2 linked regions of the Caenorhabditis elegans genome follow. The protein of the gene in region 1 interacts with the protein of each later gene in a pairwise test. Each region holds a gene or a part of one and is shown on either strand. Other genes may lie near its edges.

What was found. Proteins that work in one complex are often made in the same cells at the same time.
Region 2: the proteins of tyr-1 (region 1) and par-2 interact in a two-hybrid assay, tested with the Caenorhabditis elegans proteins (one study listed by BioGRID).

What each region holds. Positions count from the first base shown.
Region 1 is NC_003281.10:7,871,124-7,878,577, forward strand, and holds tyr-1 (Putative tyrosinase-like protein tyr-1), read left to right. Parts: upstream 1-2,657; 5' UTR 2,658-2,663; coding exon 2,664-2,760; intron 2,761-2,919; coding exon 2,920-3,104; intron 3,105-3,539; coding exon 3,540-3,610; intron 3,611-3,660; coding exon 3,661-4,130; intron 4,131-4,179; coding exon 4,180-4,370; intron 4,371-4,416; coding exon 4,417-4,504; intron 4,505-4,644; coding exon 4,645-4,877; intron 4,878-5,000; coding exon 5,001-5,099; intron 5,100-5,146; coding exon 5,147-5,276; intron 5,277-5,497; coding exon 5,498-5,739; 3' UTR 5,740-6,071; downstream 6,072-7,454. Other genes in the region: sup-18 (Iodotyrosine dehalogenase 1 homolog), read right to left, coding at 6,143-6,238, 6,285-6,467, 6,518-6,617, 6,856-6,979, 7,025-7,175, 7,245-7,322, 7,368-7,454.
Region 2 is NC_003281.10:1,079,017-1,085,474, reverse strand, and holds the start of par-2 (RING-type domain-containing protein), read right to left. Parts: upstream 4,081-6,458; 5' UTR 4,067-4,080; coding exon 3,956-4,066; intron 3,843-3,955; coding exon 3,759-3,842; intron 2,482-3,758; coding exon 2,344-2,481; intron 1,414-2,343; coding exon 1,342-1,413; intron 1,139-1,341; coding exon 1,014-1,138; intron 1-1,013. Other genes in the region: kbp-4 (KNL (kinetochore null) Binding Protein), read right to left, coding at 4,217-4,320, 4,366-4,555; Ras-related protein Rab-18, read left to right, coding at 4,994-5,070, 5,133-5,188, 5,264-5,517, 5,569-5,793.

The DNA of each region.
Region 1 (7,454 bases):
GTTATGAATGAAATTTTAAACTGAAAACAGCAGAAAGACATTTAGGCTTCAATCTGAAAATAGTTATCTATTTCAATTATTCGACACTTTCAGGAACCATCTTTTTTTTGGGAGAACGTCTTTTTGAGGTAAATTAGCATCTCAAATTACTTCAAAACCATTCCTTGGTACTTACACGGAATTTAACTTTTAACATCATGTGACAAGAGAAAAACAGTCTAAAAGTGCACTAGACATACGTTGTCAATTACACAAAAAGATAAGACTCCGCCCACTCTTATAACTGACCTCCAAAGTAGAAGTCAGAGGTCATCAAAATGATAGTGACCCAGCAGTTCTTATTAATTTTTCATTTTTGTCAAGTATCATAGTTTGATTTCAAAACCAAGGGATTTCTAAAAATATTCTTGTTATTTTCTCACTGTCGAAGTTTGTTCGTTTACTGAATTTGTAAAAAAAAAAAGTAAAATGTAGGTGAAGGTTGTGTCGTATCACTAGAAATTGATGCATATCTTTTATCAAACACGAACTTCCGATTTTTCTGCAAAAATGCTATCCTGATTTTGATTTTATCCACATACAAACTTTTTCATGTTCCGTTCAAGATTAAAATTTTGAAAAGCAATCCACAGTAGTTTCCCTTACTCGTTCTGGATGTTTTGTTTTGGTTTAGTTCCGGTTTTCATTGGATAATTTGAACTCCCTCTCTTTTTCCCCACATCGCCATACCACTACATCAACACCCACAATAGTTTTTTGCTTCGAAAACTGAAAGAGTAACCAGGTTTGTAACCGACCGGTTCGAGACCCAGTGGGCATTTCTTTTTTTGCGATTTCATAGATTTTATAAAATACTAATTACTATTCCCAAATGGAATTACTAAAAGGCGAAAGTGGTCATTTTGTCGCTGCCCGATCACCTTGAACTTTGAATTTTATTTGTTTTTCTCAAAATTTCTCGCATTTTTTTCGGCATGTTTTTCTATATAATTCGTGACTTTTGCGGATTGATACTTTAAGACTACAAGGTTAGAAAGAAGAGAAAAATGTTATTTAAAAATCACCTAATTTCCAAAAATCTAACAATAGAGAAAGTTCATGAAAGACTAATTTAGAAGAAGGCTTGATCAGGCTAAATGATAAGGCTCAGGTATGTAATAGTTCAGGTTAAGCTTGAAAACTTGAAAACTTCAAAATAACAAGAAAAGGTTCTAAATTTACACTCAGCCTTCTTGACGAGTCATGTTTTAGTTAACACCTCAAATTTCGATCAGAAATTTTTCAGTACCTGTATGTAGAATTGTTCCAAAATCTTTTTTTTTGTGGGTTTTTGATTTTGTAGGATGCTTAATAATTAGGTGATCATTCTGGAAGTTTTTTTCAATTTTTAATATTCTGAAAAAGTCTGAAAACATTCTTGCACAGCTATTTAAACTTCAGGCTTACATCTTTTTTCCAAAAAAGAAAAGATTTTAAAGAAAATGTTGAGCATAGCATAGCAAAGCTAGTTTTTGACCTAAATAAAATTAAGAGTTGCTCGCGGTACTTTTTCAAATATTTTTGAACTCTGAAAAAAAAAATTCTGAAATTCATATCTGCAAGGTTTCCCTAGTTGACCTACTAGACATTTGACTATTTACTGACTCATTCTATGTAATTGTTTCTAGGCCGTGATCGTCGCGCAATCATCAAATTGACGTCAATCTTTTCACGAATTCTATCCGTTTTTTTCTTCAAATTTTAGGGTTTTCTCGAGGTGATCTTATCATTTTTTTTTTCTCTTGAATCTTTCCTCGCAACCATCATGTGTTCGCCAAACAATTGGCTCCACCCCCTCCGACGCGTGAACTTTCGAAACTGAATTGAATCAACAATTAGCATCTGAACGAGGAATCCCAAAGAAACCGGCAAAATTTAATAAAATAGCGCAAAATTAAGAGAGGGTGGACAGAGAAATGAGCTATTTTTGTAGTTTTGAGGTAGAAGGTGTAAATAAAAAGAATACGCAATCGAGACGCACGAAGGTCAATTCGAATGGAATTTCTTATACTGTCTCCCAATATTGTATACACTCTCGTTTTTCACTTTTAGCTAGAAGAGAAAAGTGGGAGGCAATGGTCAGAATTGGAAATTCTGAATTATTCGGTCACTTTTTCAAATCATGGTAGAAGGTTTTGAGAGATTTTTTTAAAATGAATACCTAAAAATCTAGGACTACTTTCAGCACTTTCAGTAGCATTCTGTCAACTTTTCAACTTCGACTACCAAACTTTTGTGGAACATTGTTTACTTTCAGTCTAACGTTGCCAACTTTCTCTCTAACTTTGAAAGCTTCCCGTCTCTAGTTGTGAACTTTCTGTAGCACATTGCTTAGCCTATTTGAAAGGACAATCGTTTTAGTAGAATATAGTTGAGATATCAAAATGTACAGATAATGATTTTTTAATCAAGTTGTATTTCTTGTTGTCTATTTTCATTCCTTGTCAACATTCTTACATAAAAATCAATCACTAAACATTTTACCAGAAGGTCAAACCAAATTTTCACCAGAAATGATTTTTTGGAGAACATTACCAAGTTCGGATTTTTTATTTGGTTCCTCATGGTCATCCTCGTCATCTATTTTTATTTTATGCTCTCAAAAGATCCCTTTTCAGACAAAAATGGGTCGGCTTCGTGCCTTCCTTTTGTTTTCCGGCACACTGGCAGTTATTAGCACAGTACATGCCGACTTTAATTGCTCACAGGCTCCTGATTCAGGTAGGGTATTCAGAATACTTTTGCAAAAAATAAATTGACTATTTTATAAGTTTCTTAATGTTTCTCACAACTAGGTTTAAAAGTATAAAAAATTTAGAAAACATAAAACAATTACCAATTCCTTTCCTTTTCAAAAAACAAAGAATAAAAAATTTTCAGACATGGTCCAAACATGCCATATGCTCCAAGAATGGGACAGTGCTGCACGGAAGGCAATTAGAAAACGGCAGGCATTCAATGCAGGTGCTCCAGGAGTTCAGGGGTTTTCTCCATCAAATCCACCACGATTTGCTCCATCAGCTCAAGGATGCATGAATATAGCATGCATCTGTCCGTATATGGGGGTTTGTTTGAATGTTACTTTCATTTTTACTACTTGGCATTTGTTTTCAACTTCTTGTCTAGTCTGTCTAGGCTCAAAAAATATTACCTTGATTCCGAAGTTGCTGAAGTTCGTTCAAGCTATCCTCAAGATAAACCTAAGTTTAATCTTACTCTTGTCAAAATTAGTTCCTAAATAATTTTCTTTAGATCAAACTTGGGCAAAATTTAGGTTTGTCTTAAACCTAATTTTGGCAAATTCTGAATCAAGTTAATATTTTTTATACCACTTGTTCAAAAAGTTTGTACCAAGTGCGAAGTAACTGTGCATTTTAAACTATTTAAATCGTACATTCCTCGCGCCATTATACTTCTGGCAATCTAAGATGTTTCCAAGAAGAAATGTTCAAGACAAAATGCTTGAAAAACAAAAATAAAACAAAATTTAAAAATTCTAGGGACGAATGGCAAATGGATGTATCCTACCAAATGGGCAACCTTACTTAATGGCATATAGAAAAGAGTATAGGTATTACATATTTCATCTAATTTACAAAAAATTTACAAACAAAATTTTAGAATGATGTCAGATAACGAACGACAACGGTGGCACAATGCCCTAATACAATTGAAACGTTCAGGAGAATACGATCGTCTTTCAGTAATGCATCGACAAGTTGGCTCAGCCTCCGGAGCTCATTCCGGTCCAGGCTTCCTTGTCTGGCATAGAGAATACATGAAAAGAATGGAAATTGCTCTTAGAATGATTGATCCAGGAATATCTATGCCATATTGGGATTCTGTTCTAGAATCATATCTTCCCGATCCAAGAGACTCTATTATGTTTGGACCACAATTTATGGGAATGACTGATGCTTCTGGTCAATTGGTTAGTGGTCCATTTGCTGGATTCAGAACACTTGAAGGAAGGCCTAATATTATTAGAAGAATGGCTACTGAAGGGAAAATGTTCACTGAACAAAATATTAATAATTTGATGGCACAAAATGATTTGGTTAGCGTAATGGCTTTCACTGCTCCACAAGGAGGTAATCTATTTATTTATCGAATTTTACTTAAAATTTTGAAATATTGCAGGATGCCCATTCCGTCCCTATTTTGGAGCGCTTGAGTATACTCATGCATCAATTCATTTATGGATGGGCGGAGACATGAAACCACCATCAACATCTGCAAATGACCCAGTCTTCTTCCTCCATCACACATTTGTCGATTTTATTTGGGAAATGTGGAGACAAAATCACCAGAATAGATTTGCAAGAGAAAATGTTCGTTAAAGTTATGAAAAATTACTGTAAAAAGATTTATTTTCAGCAATATCCACCAGACATTGCCGCTTGTGCCAATTCTCAACACTTCAGTTATGCTCAAATGAGACCTTGGGATAAAATTAATCGTGATGGTAAGTTTGCTCTATTATGCTGTCTGGAAAGTCTACTGGAAAGTGTGAATTAATTGACTAGCATACTAAAACAACGATTCCAGATTATTTTTAACTTTGTAAAAAATTTGAAAGTGTAAAAAGTTTCCAATTTTCTTCAGGTCTCTCGAATGCCTACACTGATAATTTGTATCACTATGCTCCTCGTCCAACGTGTAACCGTAATAATGCCAACTGCGGATCTCAATATCTGTTCTGTGATACACGTGGCAATCCACATTGCGTGGCAAAGGTGAAGCCAGGTGGTTTGTGCCGTGGATTCGAAGGATTAGATTCTTGTTACATGGGTACATGTGTTGCTGGATGGTGTAGAGGTGGACAACAGTTCCAACAGGTACGACAACTTTTTATGTAGCTTAAGTTTCAGATTTTTTGAACATGAATCCATACTTGATAAAAATTTCAATTATATACTTTTATACCCGTATTAAAAAAACTCAAACATTAATATTTTTAGCCAGCGCAAACCACTGCAGTGGCTACTGTTCAACAACCTCAGCAGCAGCCCCAGCAACAGCAACCACAGCAACAGAGACCAGCCACAACCCCACAATCTGTAAGCTAATCCTCACTGGAACACGTGCAAAATGTCTAATATTTCAGAATTGCTACAACGAAGATCCATGCTGTAATCAGTGGTCTCGTCAGAATGAGTGTCGAACAAATACAGTTTACATGAATAGATATTGTAGGAAATCTTGTGGATTGTGTCAGTCTAATGATAACAATAGAGGTGTGTTTTGAGTAGCAAAAATGGGATATTTTATAAAATCTCAACGAGCAGGTGTATCTAGAAATTCCCAGAGAGGCCTCCCCGTCTACCTAAAATGAAAACCTAGTTTCTAATAGTTAGTCTCAACTGGGTGGAATTACTTGAGTCAATTTTGAAATATTTTGCGTTTTATCATAATAATCGAAAACTTCCTATGTAATTATAAAACCAAATGAGTTCAGGATGTCATGATCGTCACATATCTTGTGCCTACTGGCGTGGACAGAACTTCTGTACCCGCCGTCGTCAATGGATGGCTGAAAATTGTCAAGCAACATGTGGATGGTGCAATATGAACGAAGCTCAATTATGTGCATCAGTTGCTCGTCAATCAAGAAGAGTTCGAAGAAATGCAAAGTTCTGGCTCACTGAGCCAGATGCAGATGACTTTGTTGATGATTTTATGCTTGATTATGGACGATAATCACTTTTCGAAATTTTTTAAAAATCTTTACTGAAAATTGTCATTTTCACCCAACCAATGTGTATCACATTCTCTCTACGTGTCGTTTTCCTTCCCAAAATCCTTCCGAACTTTCTTCAAAACAATTTCACACCTGCCGAAATCACAGTTGATCCGGGTTTTTGTACAAACTGATTTCCAACACCCCCTGCCCCTGATTTGTTTTCTTATTTTCCAAGAAAATTAATAAAATATGTTTGATCTTTTTTTAAAGCTTGTAACCTGCCCTTAATATAAACCAGTGTAACTATTAAAAATCGTACGAGTTTCTAATAAAAATAAACCCTGATTTTATTAAGAAAAATGAATTTCAAATGTTAAAAAATCTGAAAGGAACATGGGAGATGAAAAGTGAATGACAAAATCAATATAGTTTGGTGATATGTTCGACCGGTTTTCTTTTGAGATCTGGAACAAGCACGTCTTCTGACGCATAACCAAGAGGAAGTAGCAGTAGTATCTGCAATTAACCACTTGGATTGTACTATACTCTATCATCTGCTTACACTTTCATTCTCAGGCCTCCTCAATATTCTTGAAATATCGGGTCCTGCATTCAACGGTGACGTCACTACAGTACTCAATCCAACATTCTGAATTGCAGCCAAAAGGATGCCAACAGCAATTGATGTGCTTATTTGATTATAGTGGAATACCCGTTCTGTTTTACTATGCACGTCACGAAATATCTGAAAACCAGATGTTTGAGGATTGATTTTAAGATTGTTTTGAATCAAACCTCATGACAAACAATTAATAGATATGGAGCATCTGTAATGTATGGCCTCCGCCACGTGTCTTGTAATTGTGATACATCAACTACCCAAGAAGCTCCTTTTCTGGAAAGAAGTCTTTTAAAATCAGTTTTCGTAGATGAATTAGCCTCACAGTCCTTTCCCTGTATATTTACGATTTTTTGGCTTTTTTTTTGATTTGACTATTTTTTAAATAAAACCTTTTTATCACTGGACCGAACTTTCTACGTTTTAATAGTTACGGCTTTCATCTTTAAAGCACAACTTTTACCCAAAAATATGAGACTGGTTGAAGACCTGGCAAAGATGAAAAATAACTCACTTTCTAGAGACATAGTTATCCCGTTCGTCCGCTTCTAAGATTTTCCTGATCATTGTTTTAATTGAATCACTTGAAACAACACAAAACGTCCATGGTTGAAGATTTCCAACACTCGGAGATGTGCCTGAAAATGAGTGACTATAATTGTTATCATTTCTTTAGTTCTTACCAGCCGTTTTTAATAAATTTTGAATAACTTTTAATGGTACATCCCTTGAGCTGAACTGTCGACAACTTCTCCTCATCTTCATCTCTTCGTAGAAAATTTGAGAATTCCGAAGAGTGATGTCATCGTTTATCACTGGCATGCGGTATGGAATCTGAAAATAAAAATATTTTTTAGCGCTAAAGCTGAAGATTTCCCCAAATTTCATTAAAACTAAACAAACCATTCTCTCTCTGATGACATTTTCATGAAGATCTGTAAAAACCATTTCATCTCCAACATGTTTATCTGCAACTTCAACCTGAAAACATTCACTGTTTCATATATTAAAAACAAAAATAGTCACTTTTCGTTGTTTTGTTCTACTCTCCAACTGCTTCTCAACTCGTTTGTTCATTCGATGAAGTAGAGAAGCAACTTGGTAGATCACAAA
Region 2 (6,458 bases), 6.8 Mb from region 1:
CAAATCCAAGAAAATCGGCGAAAATCCATGAAAAACGATGAAAAATGCTCCAAACTGACCGAAAAAATCCGAGGAACTGGCGAAAAACTTGAAAAATACCAAAATTAGAGTGAAAAATTGGCTGAAATCCTGGAAAAAACTCGAAAATATCACTAAAAAAACAAAAAAATGTGTAAAATAATCATAAAAGAGGTTAAAAATCGCGTTTTCCGTCGAAAATTAGCATTTTTCGGGGGTAAAATCGATATTTTTAACCAAAAAAGGCTACGAAACGGGTGCACCATGACACCAATTATCGATTTTTTAAAACGCGCGTTTTAATTGGGCGAAAATTGAATTTTAAACTCAAATTTTCAGGTTTTTGACCGAAAAATCGGATTTTTCCGCAATTTTTATAGTTTTTTTCCCGAAAAATCAAATTTTTGAACAGAATTTCAGATTTTTAGCAGGAAAAATTAGGAAAATCACATTTTTCTATGAGATTTACTCTTTTTTCGCTGAAAAATTAGGTTTTTTTCAGAGAAAATCGCATTTTTTGGTTGAAAAATTGAGTTTTAAGCTCAAAAATTGAGGTTTTTGACTGAAAAATCGAATTTTTCTGCAATTTTTACAGTTTTCATTAGAAATGTTAGCATTTTTCGCAAAAATTTGATTTTTAATTGGATTTTTTTTTTATTTTTTCTCCAATTTGTTGGGTTTAAAGTGGATTTTTCTCCGGAAAAATCAGGAAATTTACATTTTTCTCTGAGATTTACTCATTTATAGTTGAAAAATTAGGTTTTTTTCAGGGAAAATCACATTTTTACAGGGAAAAATTGAGTTTTAAGCTCAAAAATTGAGGTTTTTGACTGAAAAATCGAATTTTTCTGCATTTTTTTCGCTTTTTTTAACTGAAAAATTGACTTTTTTGGCTGAAAATCGAAGATTTTTACTGAAATTCAGCGATTTTTCCATATTTTTAGCTGAAATTTCCAGATTTTCAGCCTTTTTTCAGCTCTTTTCCAGCCATCTACCTCGAGCAAATCGTTGGGCCCGCAATTGAGAAGAATAAGCGTCGTTTAGACCGTTGTGACAGGCTTCTCGTCATTTTTTGAGCCGGAATTTCCTCCGAAATTGGTGGTGTTGGCGCTTTTTGGAGCTGAAAATAGTGAAAAATCCGGGTTTTTAGGGGGTAAAAATTGGGAAAATCGGGGGTTTTTAAGCTTTAAAAAAAGTGGAAAACCACGATTTTTCAACTGAAAATGGTGAAAAAACCCGACTTTTGGGGTCAAAAACACCTAATTTTCATGATTTTTTCACTCAAAAACCCTGAAAATTCGCATTTTCCTGCAAAAACTCAACCTTTTCCTCACAAATGAACAAATCGTCGTAGCTGCTCTCGATATTCTCCTGGTTTTTCAATTTTCGGACCATCTGAAACGAAAATTCGTTGAATGTTTTGGTATTTTTCTGCGAAAAAATGCAAAAATTTGAGATTTTAGCTAGAAAATTGGGTTTTTGAGCTAAAAATTGCAAAAATTTTGGATTTTTAACTGAAAAATCGGGATTTTGAGATTAAAACTGGGTTTTCAAGGTAAAAATTGCAAAAAATTGATATTTTTGCAAGAAAATCGCAATTTTTTTTGACTAAAATTAAGTTTTTCGGCGAAAAAATGCAAAAATTTGGGATTTTTAGCTGGAAAATCGGGATTTTGAGATTAAAATTGAGTTTTTCTGCGAAAAATGCGAAAAATAGCTTCAAAATCAAAATTTTCAGGGCTTCCAACAGATTTTTACCCTGAAAATGGAGAATTTTAACCCAAAAATTCATAATTTTTTAGGTTTTCCTATGAAAAAGTTTATTTTTAGGTCAAAATTCCGGTTTTTCAGTGTAAAAACCAACGAAAATCAAGAAATTTTAGATGTAAAAGTCAACATTTTTCTGAATTTTCGGCAAGATTTTCAAGGAAAAATCGGATTTTTGACCGAAAATGCATAATTTATAAGTTGAAAAATGTATTTTTGTGGTTTTTTTGGCTGAAAAATATCAAGTTTTCCACGGGAAAATGTGATTTTTAAGTCAAAATCTCGGCCTTTAAGGCTAAAAACTTTCGAAAATTGAATTTTAAGCCAAAACTATGCTTTTTATGGCTGAAAATGCAATTTTTAGTCACAAAATTCAAAATTTTGAGGAAAAAATCGGGTTTTTAAGCGTATTTTTGTAGTTTTTGCCGTGAAAAATCGTTTTTTCGGACTAAAATTAGAGTTTTTTGGCTGACAAATGCGATTTTAAGGTAAAAATCCACGGTTTTCCGGGGTAAAAACTGTCGAAAAATCCGAATTTCGCATCAAAATCCGTCGTACATTATCAAGTGTAATGCTGGGAATCATCGCTGCAAATGGTCCAACGTCGAGTTTACAGATTACACAGGCTCTCGTATCACGTGTATGTCGTTCGATGCACGGCTCACAGTACGAGTGCCCACATGTTACCATTACGGGCTGAAAATTTGGAAAAATTGGCTGAAAATTGTAAAAATTAGGGTAGAAATGGGGTTTTTCGGCTGAAAATCGAAAAAATCGGCGGAAAACTGGGATTTTTGACATAAAAATTGGAAAAATCCGGGAAAATTGATGGTTTTTGGGCTAAAAATCGGAAAACTCCGCTGAAAAACTGGGGTTTCTTGAGCTAAAAATCTGGGAAAATGGGTGATTTTTGAGATGAAAAACGTAAAAAAACGGGAGAAAACTGTGTAGTTTTTGGGCTAAAAATTGTAAAAATCCTGAGAAACCGAGATTTTTGGGTTAAAAATCGGGAAAATCCTGGGAAAAATCGGTGATTTTTGAGCTAAAAATTGTGTAAAAATCGGCAGAAATCGGTGTGATTTTTGGGTTAAAATTGTAAAAATCCGGAAAAATTTGGATTTTTCGGCTGAAAATTGAAAAAAATCTTAAAATATTGAAGTTTTTTGAGCAAAAAATTGGAAAAATCTGGAAAAATGGGAGGTTTTTGAGCTGAAAATCGAAAAAAATCGGTTATTTTTGAGCTAAAATCAGAAAAATCCGAAAAAAATCGGTTATTTTTGAGCTAAAATCAGAAAAATCCGAAAAAATTGGGGTTTTTTGGGCTAAAAATTGTAAAAGTCCGGAAAAATTGTGGGTTTCGAGCTAAAAATCGTTAAAATATGGGAAAAACTGGAGTTTTTTGGCTAAAAACCGAAAAAATCCGGCAAAATTGGGGTTTTTAGGGCTAAAAATCGGAAAAATCCAAAATTTTAAGCTAAAATCTGTAAAAATCCGAGAAAAACTGGGGTTTCTGAGCTGAAAATCGAAAAAAATCTGAAAAATTGTGGTTTTTAAGCTAAAAACTGTAAAAATCCGAGAAAAACTGGGGTTTTTGTGCTGAAAATCTTAAAAATCCAAAGTTTTTAGTCTAAAAATCGTAAAAATCGGCAAAAAACTGTAAAAATCCGAGAAAATCTGTGATTATTATGCTAAAAATCGGAAAAAATGCGGTTTTCTAGCTAAAAATCCCCAAAAAATCGTGATTTTTGGCTGAAAATCTGGAAAAATGGGCAAAAACAAGACAATTTTCGGAATTTCAAGTTTTTATGAGAAAATTTCGCATTTTTCCCCGATTTTTCACATTTATAGCTGGAAAAAGACGAAAATTGCACATTTTTGGGTCAAAAATGGGTAAAATTAAGCGATTTTTAATGGAAAATCCGCCATTTTTCACGCAATTTTTCTTGAAATCCTCGGTATTTCCATGTTCTAACCCTGTCGAAAAGCTGATCACACAGTGGACAGAGGAGTTCCGAGCTCAAATCGCGTCGAACCGGCTGTTGAACGTCGTTGATGCACTGAAAATTGTGTTTTTAGGCGGTTTCCAGGGCGAAAAACACGATTTTCTGCTTATTTTCCAGCAAAAAATGCGTTTTTTCGATTTTTTTCGCCGCTAAAAATCCGATTTTACCGCTGTAGAAGTAGTTGCGTTGGACTCCAGCAGACGTGGCGATGAGTTGGCAATCGATAAATCGCTCTGCGAAGCCCGTATTTGAGCGGATGAAGTGTCTAAATCCGTCATTTTTGGGCTGAAAATGAGGATTTTGAGCCTGAAAAATCATTGAAAAACGCTGAAAAATAAGTATAAAATGCATGAAAAGTACAGAAAACTGGGAAAAACAACGGGGTTAAGGAATACAGAACTTTATATGTACAGAAATAATGAAAATTGTTAGAAAATTTCCTCGGCGACCTTCTTCAGCTCATCCTGAAACTCTTTTTGAAGAGAAAACGCGAATTCCTTGACTTTATACTGCTCCTGGAGGTCTTCGAGTTCTAGGAAATGGGAAAATTATTGTGAAAATTCACTAAATTTCTCACGTTTTTCCACCAATTTTCGCTTCTCGAGCGTCTCCTCCAGCTTCCGATCGGCCTCGTCCATTTCCTTGTTAATTATCTGCAGTTTGGAGGCGCAAACTTCTTGGAGATCCGAAAAATCTTGGGTTTTCGGCAGTTTTTCGACTTTTACCGCGAGAACTTCGTTGATCATGTCGTCGATTGATTTTTGCATTTTTTTTGATTGCTGAAAACTGATAAAAATTTGGAAAAATTATAAAAAACAAAAAAAATAAAAATAAAAAACACGAAAAACGTTTAAAAATTAAAAAAACAAAAAAACAAATTTCAAACAAATCCATTTTCGCGCCATCGGGTCTCACCACGACAGGCACTTGGCATCGTGCCAAGTGCAAGTGCGCTCCATCGCTCTCTTTTCCGAAAGAGCGTCTCGTGCAACGACATCTGACATTTTCGAAGGGAAATTTATTGATTTTTCGGCAAATTTTTGGGTTTTAAGGTGAAAAATCTATTTAAAAGTGTTAAAAAATTAACTTAAAATGGGGAAAATACCCTGAAAAATCGAGTTTTTTATCTTTTATCCTTAAAAACGTAAATTTCCCAACAAAAAAAAAATTATCCTGCATTTTCCCTTCGTTTTTACGAATTCCAGATGTCCGACGACAGTTCAAGCCCCCTCACAACTCTCAAAATCCTGATTATCGGCGAAAGTGGCGTAGGGAAGTCGAGGTGAGGGGTTTTCTCGCCCAAAAAAAATTTAAAAAAATCAATTTAAATTCAAAAATTTTCAGCTTAATGCTACGATTCGTGGACGATGTCTTCGATCCTGAGCAGGCTGCAACGATAGGTTCGTGGAAATTCCAGGGATTTTTGGATTTTTTGATTTTTAGGCCAAAAAAACCCTAAATTTATTGTTTTTTAGGCGTGGATTTCCGCGTAACTTCAATGGCAATCGACGGAAATCGTGTAAAACTCGCAATTTGGGACACCGCCGGCCAGGAGAGGTTCCGTACCCTCACGCCGAGCTATTATCGTGGAGCACAGGGCGTAATTTGCGTGTATGACGTCACTAGCCGCAGCTCCTTCGAGAAATTGAATCATTGGATGCAAGAAGTCGATACTTATTGCACAAATGACAATATTATCAAGATGATGGTCGCGAACAAGATTGATATGGTGCGAAAAAGCCGATTTTGTTCGATTTTTGGCCTAAAAAATAATTTTCAGCCAAATCGAGTGGTAACCCGCGAGGAAGGCCTAAAATTCGCAAAACGCCACCGCACACTATTCATTGAAGCTTCTGCGAAGACTAAGGAGGGTGTACAGTGCACATTTGAGGAGCTTATCGAGAAAATCATTCAAACGCCCGACTTATGGGACAATGACCGCCCGTCTTTTCGGTTGGGACAACCGACGGGCTCCAGTGGTGGCGGCGGAATGTGTGGATGCTAGGAAATTCTCGCGGAAAATTCGTTCATTTTGACATAAAATCGATATTTTTACTGTAAAATTCATCAATTTTCACCTAAAATCCTGTTTTTTTCATGTAAATTGTCAAAATTTGACCTAAAATCCTGTTTTTTCCATGTAAAAACGTGAATTTCGGTTTAAAATCGCCAATTTTCCCTCAAAATCGCCGTTTTTTCCATATAAAAATGTCCAACTTTGGCTTAAAATCGCTGGTTTTTCATGCAAAGTTTATCGATTTTAACCTAAATTAGGCCTTTTTCCATGTAAAAATGCAAATTTTCCCCTAAAATCGCCAATTTCCCAGCAAAATCGCTGTTTTCGATGCAAAATTCATCAATTTTCACCTAAAATAGCCCGTTTTTTTTCATGTAAATTGCCAAATTTTGACCTAAAATAACCATTTTTTCATGTAAAATCGCCGATTTTGGCTTAAAATCGCAAATTTTCCCCCATAATGGCCGTTTTTCATGGAAAATCGCCGATTTTGGCTTAAAATCGCCAATTTCCCATCAAAATCGCTGTTTTCGATGCAAAATTTATCGATTTTCACCTAAAATAGCTATTTTTCCCTGTAAAAATGTCAATTTTGACTTGAAATTGCCAATTTTCACCTGAAATCCCCGTTTTTCATTCAAAATTTATCGATT